Struthio camelus: one gene and its partner. The protein of the gene in region 1 interacts with the protein of each later gene in a pairwise test. Links are inferred from orthologs where the notes say so. Each region holds a gene or a part of one and is shown in the gene's direction. Other genes may lie near its edges. The genes, in order: GUCD1 and CTH.

Region 1 (3,912 bases):
TCCCAGGCCTGCTTTAAACCCTAAAAGAACAAACTCTGCGCTCTTTAGAGCATTCAGCAATCCTGAGTCCACTTCACTACAACGTAGGCATGCAGCAGCAGGGTTTTTTTTTTTTTTAATCCTTAGACTAAAAATAATAGTCTTTAAATCAAAACACAAATAAGCTAGCTATCAACCTTTCCTGGCACAGACGAGACAGCCTCCCTTCCCTCCACCAGAGGCAGCTATACCTGACAGTTCATGTTGTCTTCAGCTTCGATAAGCTTGCCCCGATAGACTTCTCCTGTGTTGGTCTCACATGTGACGATGTGGCCTTCCGCCTCGTGCAGGACTTTGATGGGCACGCCGATCGACATGTCTGCAGAGCTGCGGCTCTACCCCTGGGACAAGGAAAAGCAAAGGAAACGGTCTTTGAAATTAGGTTCTCCCTACATTACCTATGATCTTTTCAAGCGTAAGAAACGGGGGGGGGGGGGGGGGAAGGGGGGTTCCCCCTTGCCCAGAAACACCACAAGTTTTGATGAAACGTTAACAAAGCTCCTCTAGAAAGAGGGCTATGGGAAAAAAAAAAATCACTTAAATATCAGTGGAAGTGGCTGCCTACGGGTTCCCTGCTAGGAAAGGGAAAGGAAACCCGCTCCCCAGCTGGAGGACACCGAACCGCCGGCGCAGGCAGGGGCGGCGGCGGCACCGGGGCCGCTCGCAAGCGCGGCCCGGCGGCAGCAGCGCGGCAGCCGGGCCGGGCCGGGCCCACGGGTCCCGCGCCAGGGCAGCGGGCACTACCACGAGGGGGGAAGGAGGCGGCCCGGGCCCGGACGGCGCCCCGGGCCCGCGGCCTCGTCGCCAGCCATAGCCAAGAGGCCCCGGGGCCGGCCCGGCGCCCACCACCACTCACCGCCCGCAACCGCCTCAAGCCGGGCCCGCGCGCAGCCCCTAATGGCCTCCTCCAGCTTCCCGCCGTGCCCCGCGCGCCGGAAGCGGAAAGCGGCGCTCGCCGGGAGGCTCCTCCCCGTCCCGTCCGGCCCGCCCCGCCCCGCCCCGCCCCGGCAGGGCAGGCGGCGCCTCCGGCGCGCGGGGCCGGCCGGGCCGCGGCGCCCCGGCACGACGGTTCCGCCGCCGCCCGCGCCCGCAGAGGGGCCGCCGCCGCCGCGGGCGCTGCCCGCCCGGCGAGCCGCGCCGAGCCGCGCCGCGCCATGCCCCCGCCGCCCGGCCGCAGCCGGCCCCGCCGCGGCGAGGGCGCGGCGCCCCGGGGCCCGGCCCCCCGCCCCCGCAGCCCCCGCCCCCGGCGCCGGGGCCGGGCGGAGCCAGCGCGGCGCCGAGGCACGGCGGGCCCCTGGGCCGGGCCGGCTCGGCGGGGCCGGCAGCGAGCGGGCGGGCGGCGGGTGCCGCCGCCGTCGCCGCCATGAAGAGCCCGCGGGAGGCCGGGGAGCCGCTGCCAGGTCAGTGCGCCCCTGCTGCCCCGAGGCCCGGCCGCCCCCCGCGCCCACCCCGGCCCCGGCGGGGCGCTGAGCGCGGGCGGCGGAGCGGGAGCGGGAGCGGGAGCCGGGGCCTCGCGCGCTGGCGGCGGCGCTGGCGGGGCGGCCGGAGGCGCGGAGCCGGCGGGGCGGCCGCGGGCGGGGGCGCGGGCGGCCGCCTCGGGGCAGCGGGGAGGCCCCGCCGGGAGAGGCCGCGGGGCCGGGAGCTGGACACCCGGGAGAACTGGAAAAGCACGAGCCGTTGTCGGTCTGTGAAGTCATCAGGCAGAAAACAGCGTTACTTCTTAAATTAACCTGGGGAGCTGGCAGAGGCCCTAGGTAGGAACGAAGAGGGAACTGACTCATGACACGCCGGGAAGAACCAACAATAAAGATTTAAAGAGGGTAGTCCGAGGAGGATCTGGGACTTTTTGTTTTCCCTTTAGGAGACTTACGTAAGAGCACCTTAATCTAGATTAACAAAGACAACTGAATATACCAGCAGGTATACCTGGTCTTCGAAGTCACGATTAAACACGGGCACAACTACGAAAAAATATTTTTGAAGAGTCCAAAATATCTATATTGGCTTGTGCCTACTGTAGGCTATAGCTTTGTTAGGAAATAATACAAAATTATTGTTACGAATGACATTACTTATAAAGTTTTACAAATAAAATTTTATCAAAACTAGACCAGTCCACATGATGTGGAATGCATTTTTATCTTCATGCCGAAGTGTAGTTGACCTTGTGTTAACAGCTTTCAAAGGTCTTTTCTAGTCAAAAGTGAAGGGATTGAGAAAAGCCCTTTAAGACTAGCTTACTCTGATTAAGGTTGAAATAACAGTAACACCTGCAAAAACACTAAGTCATTCAAATTCAAACGATAATGGGTCTTCTGAGACTGAAACCATCACACTTGCCCCAAGCCTATAAAAATGAAAAATGAGGAAGAAAGATGGAATTATGGACTTTCCAGTAGAGATTTTTCTTCTTTCTTTTTCTGAAACCTTGAGAGAATATAACACGAAAGGCCAACTAGTGTCATTTGTAAGGTTCGGTAACTTAAAATTACTCACATAAATTATAGTCCCTGAGGAAAAAAGACACATCTGTAGAAAAGGCTCAGCTCTGTGGGGCTTGTGAGAGAGAGGTGGCTGGAGGAGATCTTTGTTGTGTCTGTTTTATCACAGTCTGGCTGAACACCTTTTGTGGCACAGAAGTACATTCAGAGACTGTTTTGGACACATGACAAAGGATGAATAGCTGTGCCTTATCTACTGCTAGTTAGGAGGGGATACAGCTTTGTAACTAGGGGCTGGTGGATGTGTCACCACCACAAAAAAGAATAAAATACTGCACAGTGATCCAAATATGTAACAATAATATGACATTAAACCAGACACGTGAGGGTTAACTCTACAGAAATACCAAACAAACCTACATCCCCTTAGGAAAAAGGACCTGCCAATCAGGTAAAATAAAAAATGTTCCTAAGTTTCCCCCACTATAGTGCTGAGTGTACCTGCAAGACAGCAAATTGGCTTTGAATGCTGAGGTACGGAAAAACATGTATATGCGGGTTGACATCCTCCATGTTTTACTAAGTGTTGTTTTCACTGCAGTTGACTGCATCCAGTTGAAAGTGCCAGTCATCCAGCAGCTGTACCACTGGGACTGTGGGCTAGCCTGCTCCAGGATGGTACTACAGTAAGTAACTTTTTTGGCTTCAAGGGGTTGGAAATCCCATCCCATGGGAAGTCGGAAATCAATGTCCAGGGAGAAAGGATATGTGGAAGCAGCTGTGAATTTAACTTCAGTATCGTGAGAGCATATAGTCTCAAGTACCTTTGGAGGATTACTGCTGCCAGGGTCTAGCACAGCTCTCCAGCAAGAGCAAGGGAAAATACAAACTAGGACAAATTTTAAGACTTTTTAAATGATTAACTGCTTTGATTGATGCAAAATATCTGACTAGCACTAAGATCTTTGCAGGTTAGCATGCTTAAGCTAGTAAAAGTTATCCCTCTTTTCTGTTATAATTTGGAACTAGCTTTTACCACAGCAATTCTCTTACTTCCATTCTGCGTGTTTTCAAGTGGCTGGTAGGTTTATCCCGTATTTATGAATATATATTGCCCCTGTCCTGTTGAGCCCCCACTCTGTAGGGTGAAGGGTTTCTGTTCCAGGAGTAGTTTCAACTTCAAGGCTATGCACTGTATTGCCCTTTTTTTTTTTTTTTTCTTTAAACTAGTAGCTGTCCTGCTGAACTCCTCTTTCCTTCCACAGAGGAACATGAGCTTAGGTGCAGGAGAAATACCTATTTAGATGTCCACTTAGTAGATATGAAGCAGAAGATTTTCATTTCTCTCCATCCCTACTGCCAAGACGTTAGTCCGTGTGCTGGTAATTTCCCATCTTGACTACTGTAACCTCTGCCTCTTCATTCCCTTTAC
Region 2 (3,912 bases), on another chromosome or scaffold:
ACATGTATAGGGCATAGCCAGTCTGTATGCTATACCATTATATACTGTTTCAGGTGCTAGTTGATGCCTCTTAAATGTTGGAAGCTTCAGCTTGCATTTTTAATTACTGGAAGCCAGCTAAGAGAAGACAGAGGCATGAAGTCACTGTTTACCAGCTTATTATGGAGTGCTTTATTCAATCCAGAAATTTAATAATTGCATTCCTAATGGGAATGGCTGTGTGAAAACTGGAAGTTGGCAGTGAGTCCAGAAGACTACCTGGCTAGAACTCTACTGAATAATTATTTTACAGGTACAAATTCCTGAGAATGCTGGGCTGTTTTGGTTTTGTTTTGTTTTGCTTTTAAAACTGTCTACCGACATAACTTTGTCCTGTTTGTATTCTCCATCTTCTTAAATTACTTAACTGCTCTCTTCCAAGCACTGCACAATTTAGATAAAATTATCAGGATCAGATGTGGTCTAGAACTGTGCATTTTCTACACGTTTCTGGGTTGCAAGTCCATAGAAACTTCACCTAATGCCTTGATATACAGAAGCTGAATAGAACTAGAGAAATAATTTTTCCTAATGGAATTCCCCAAGTGGGAAATAAATAATGGAGGAGTAATTCCTCATGGGTGTATTCCTCCAGGAAGGATATGGATATTTTTAGTGCCCGAACTGAATTGGCCAAAAAATAGTGAGGAATAAAAGACAAAAGCAAAGTTTGCGCGAAACCCGAAGGTAGCTAGTAAATCAAAACGATATACTGCAATTTACATTTCTTTTTCTTGTAAGCCTGCCTCGCAGTAAACAGGAATTTTTATTTATTTTTAAATTTTTATTTAAATATTTTCTTTAAATTTATTTAAACTTGGGAACAAAGTGTCTCTGATAGAAAGAGGAAAGCAAGCAAGTATGGAGAAACGCTCTTTCCGTGCCCGGGCCGGGGCCCCGCCGGGTTCTTCTTCCGGCGCCCGCGGCGGGGCCGGGCCGGGGGCGGCTCCGCCCGCGCCAATGAGGGGCCCCGCCGAGGGCCCGCCCGCGCCGGGCCCCCGGGGCGGAGCCGGACTGAGTCTCGCCGCGCCGCGCCGCGCCGAGCCCACGGCAGCGAGGCCATGGAGGGAGCCGGCGGCGGCGGCGGGTTCCTGCCGCACTTCGCCCACTTCGCCACTCGCGCCATCCACGCCGGGCAGGAGCCCGAGCAGTGGCGCTCGGGCGCCGTGGTGCCGCCGCTCTCGCTCTCCACCACCTTCAAGCAGCGGGCCCCGGGGCAGCACGCGGTGAGTGGCCCGCCAGCGGGAAACGTCGCGTGGTTTTGTTATCCCCCCCAATTCTCTCTCCCTTATTTCTCTAGGGCGCGGGGGGAAGGGGGGAGTTCAGCTAAAAGCAGCCCTTTTTGGCAGCGGGTCCCGAGGCGAGGGGCGCAGAGCAGTCGGGAAATTCAGCGTTTAACGGAGCTCCCCACCTGCCCGGGACGGGGCAAGGGAAAGGGAGGGGCACTCCCTGGTTCAAACACATTAAAGATGTGTTTCCTTATTTCATTGTTAAAGATGGCGGGGTTGTTTCTTCCCTTGAGGATGCTGTGACTTACCCTTGAAATTCAGGTTTCCTCGCAGTATCTGGTTAGACATGCAAAGCCGTGGTAGGAGAGGAGGATTATTTTCCCCTTTTAAATCCCTGTAGCGTGTGTGACTTCCAAAACTGTTGTTTTTCATCATTTTGGCTCCTGGAGTAAAAGAAACAAAACCAGACTTACTGTAATTTTTTTCTCTATTGGAAAAGATAAGTTTTCCCACAATGGACGGAAAGGCATGTTGTGTGTCAGGGAGACTTTCAATTTGAAAGTCACAGCAAGTTAAGTACTCAGCTTTCTTCTATGGGTAGACAGGCTTCCCTGTGATGCGCGCAAAGGGATTCAACTGAGGAAGCTGACCACCATATGGTGGCAGTGTCTTGGCACGTCAGGTGATTCACGTGCACCCAAAGGCTTTCATGAACCAAGGGAGATAACAATATTTAACCTGGCTACGAGGCCTGGACATTTTATCATTCACACAGACTGGGTAAGAGGTTGCTTCAATTGTCCTTCCAGATCTCATACATTTTCCATAAATATTTTGTGGCGGTCTTTTAGAAAGTACTTGAAGTGTTGAATTATCATAGAGTTCCTGATGGTCACAATGTGCATGCGAGGGAAATAACACAATTTTTCAATTCGTAAGTCGGTATTTGCCCCAAGCCCTAATTCTGAATGTCACTCTTTGCCAGTTGGGCAATAGGAATTTATCTTGTGACCTTTGATCACTTACGTAGACTAAAATTTTGACTAGTTATGAGCTAAAAACAGATTAATTAACTTGCTGAAGAACACAGGGGAAGTAGTCACAAGCTGCTGTTCTTAGGTACTGATAATACAGTGAGCCACGTTCTTACTGGAAGCTCAGTGAGAACAGCCTGTCAGATTCCTGAAGTTGTCTTTAAGCACAAACCCTGAAAGGACAAAAATACCAAGATGCTGAGCCAGGTTCTCTCTGTGACAAGCGCATCCATACATGCATGATTTTTTTTTTTTCTTGTTTAATTTTTCAGTATTCATGTAAAAGCTGTTGGAGTCACACTTGGAACTTGGCATGATTCCATGCCAGGAAAATATCTGAGCTTTCTAAAGAACTTTTTGACTGGTCTTTGTCAGTCTGGTGCTGGCCAGTGCCTAAAGCATTTTTTCAAGCGAAGGGTTGTGGAGAAGGGACACATTCTTTCTGGTAAGAACATGAGAATGAGTGGACTGTGTCAGACCAAAGCCTCTTCTCCAACAGCAACCAGAGGTGGACATCTAGGAAAAAGGGAAAGAATGTGGCAAGCGATATGATATTTCTCCCAGTACTCTCCCAGTAACCATTTTCAGATTGGGGATGTCCAAAAAAGGGCTTGGAGACAGTTCAGGGTTATTCTACTTGTTATCGTGGATACTTAAATATCTTTTGGAGTCTGCTCAGATGATCACCAATGATCACCTTAGTTTCAGTGTTAATTTCTGTGGACGCATGATCAAGATCAAGCATTATAATATCTGGGTCTGAGAGAAACAGATTGCTTTCAGTGAAGTCACCTGGAGTGGAAGGTACTCCTCATTTCACCGGATTGGGCCTCCCAGGCATCATAATTCAGATTTTGGCAGATTATTTGCTTTCTGGTTCGTGTAGATGATTCTAAATGATGTAATCCATGTTCATTTAGATAGTCACTATAATAAGACAAATATTCAAAGGTCGACTGGTGCTGTCTAGAACACAGATTCGCTTTAAAGAATAGAGAAATTAATTTTCTCTAAGTTCTTTCTTCATTAAGATACAGGCTGTGTTTTAGTCAGTCAAGAGTGGTCTAGTTTTTATTTAATTAATGCTTTATTTGAAAAGTGGCATGACATTTAAATGTGTTTTAGATTTTAAATGGATGGCACTCCATGAGATTAGTAAAGCTGTGTTGGTTGTCAGTAGCTGAATAAATATCTAGCCATTGATTTTCCAAATGGAGTGATGAGTGGCTAGTGACTGGAGCTGAACTGTGGACATCCCTTTAAAGCAAAATGAGCTTTTCACTCCAGGAACAGTTAACACAAAATATGTCAATGTATGTTAAAATTCACAGCAGATAAATCTAGGTAAAGCTCACATAAATGTCTTGCTAGAGCTCGTGGGAGTTTAATGGCAAACAGACTTGTAAGGTAGGAGGGATGGATCCTACATTGTGTACAACAGGTTGATGTAGCCAGACCATCCCGCTGTTACTGGAAAGGATGGATGCATAGCCTGAATGTTGAGAATGAGGACCTTTGAAGGAAACCTAGGACTATTATTGTACAAAACTTTCTCTCACTGCTCTCTTTTAAGTTATGTTTGTTTCTTGCTTTCTCAACAGGGTTTTGAA

Evidence for each region.
Region 2: the proteins of GUCD1 (region 1) and CTH interact in binary tests that used the Homo sapiens proteins (3 or more experiments, as listed by UniProt). The two-hybrid records come from large-scale screens. The link is inferred for Struthio camelus from reciprocal best matches to the Homo sapiens genes GUCD1 and CTH.

What each region holds. Positions count from the first base shown.
Region 1 is NC_090958.1:8,970,165-8,974,076, reverse strand, and holds the start of GUCD1 (protein GUCD1), read left to right. Parts: upstream 1-1,315; 5' UTR 1,316-1,402; coding exon 1,403-1,439; intron 1,440-1,761; exon of another isoform or gene 1,762-1,793; intron 1,794-3,081; coding exon 3,082-3,166; intron 3,167-3,912. Other genes in the region: SNRPD3 (small nuclear ribonucleoprotein Sm D3), read right to left, coding at 231-356.
Region 2 is NC_090949.1:37,729,240-37,733,151, forward strand, and holds the start of CTH (cystathionine gamma-lyase), read left to right. Parts: upstream 1-1,034; 5' UTR 1,035-1,100; coding exon 1,101-1,265; intron 1,266-3,903; coding exon 3,904-3,912. UniProt on the Homo sapiens protein: Catalyzes the last step in the trans-sulfuration pathway from L-methionine to L-cysteine in a pyridoxal-5'-phosphate (PLP)-dependent manner, which consists on cleaving the L,L-cystathionine molecule into L-cysteine, ammonia and 2-oxobutanoate.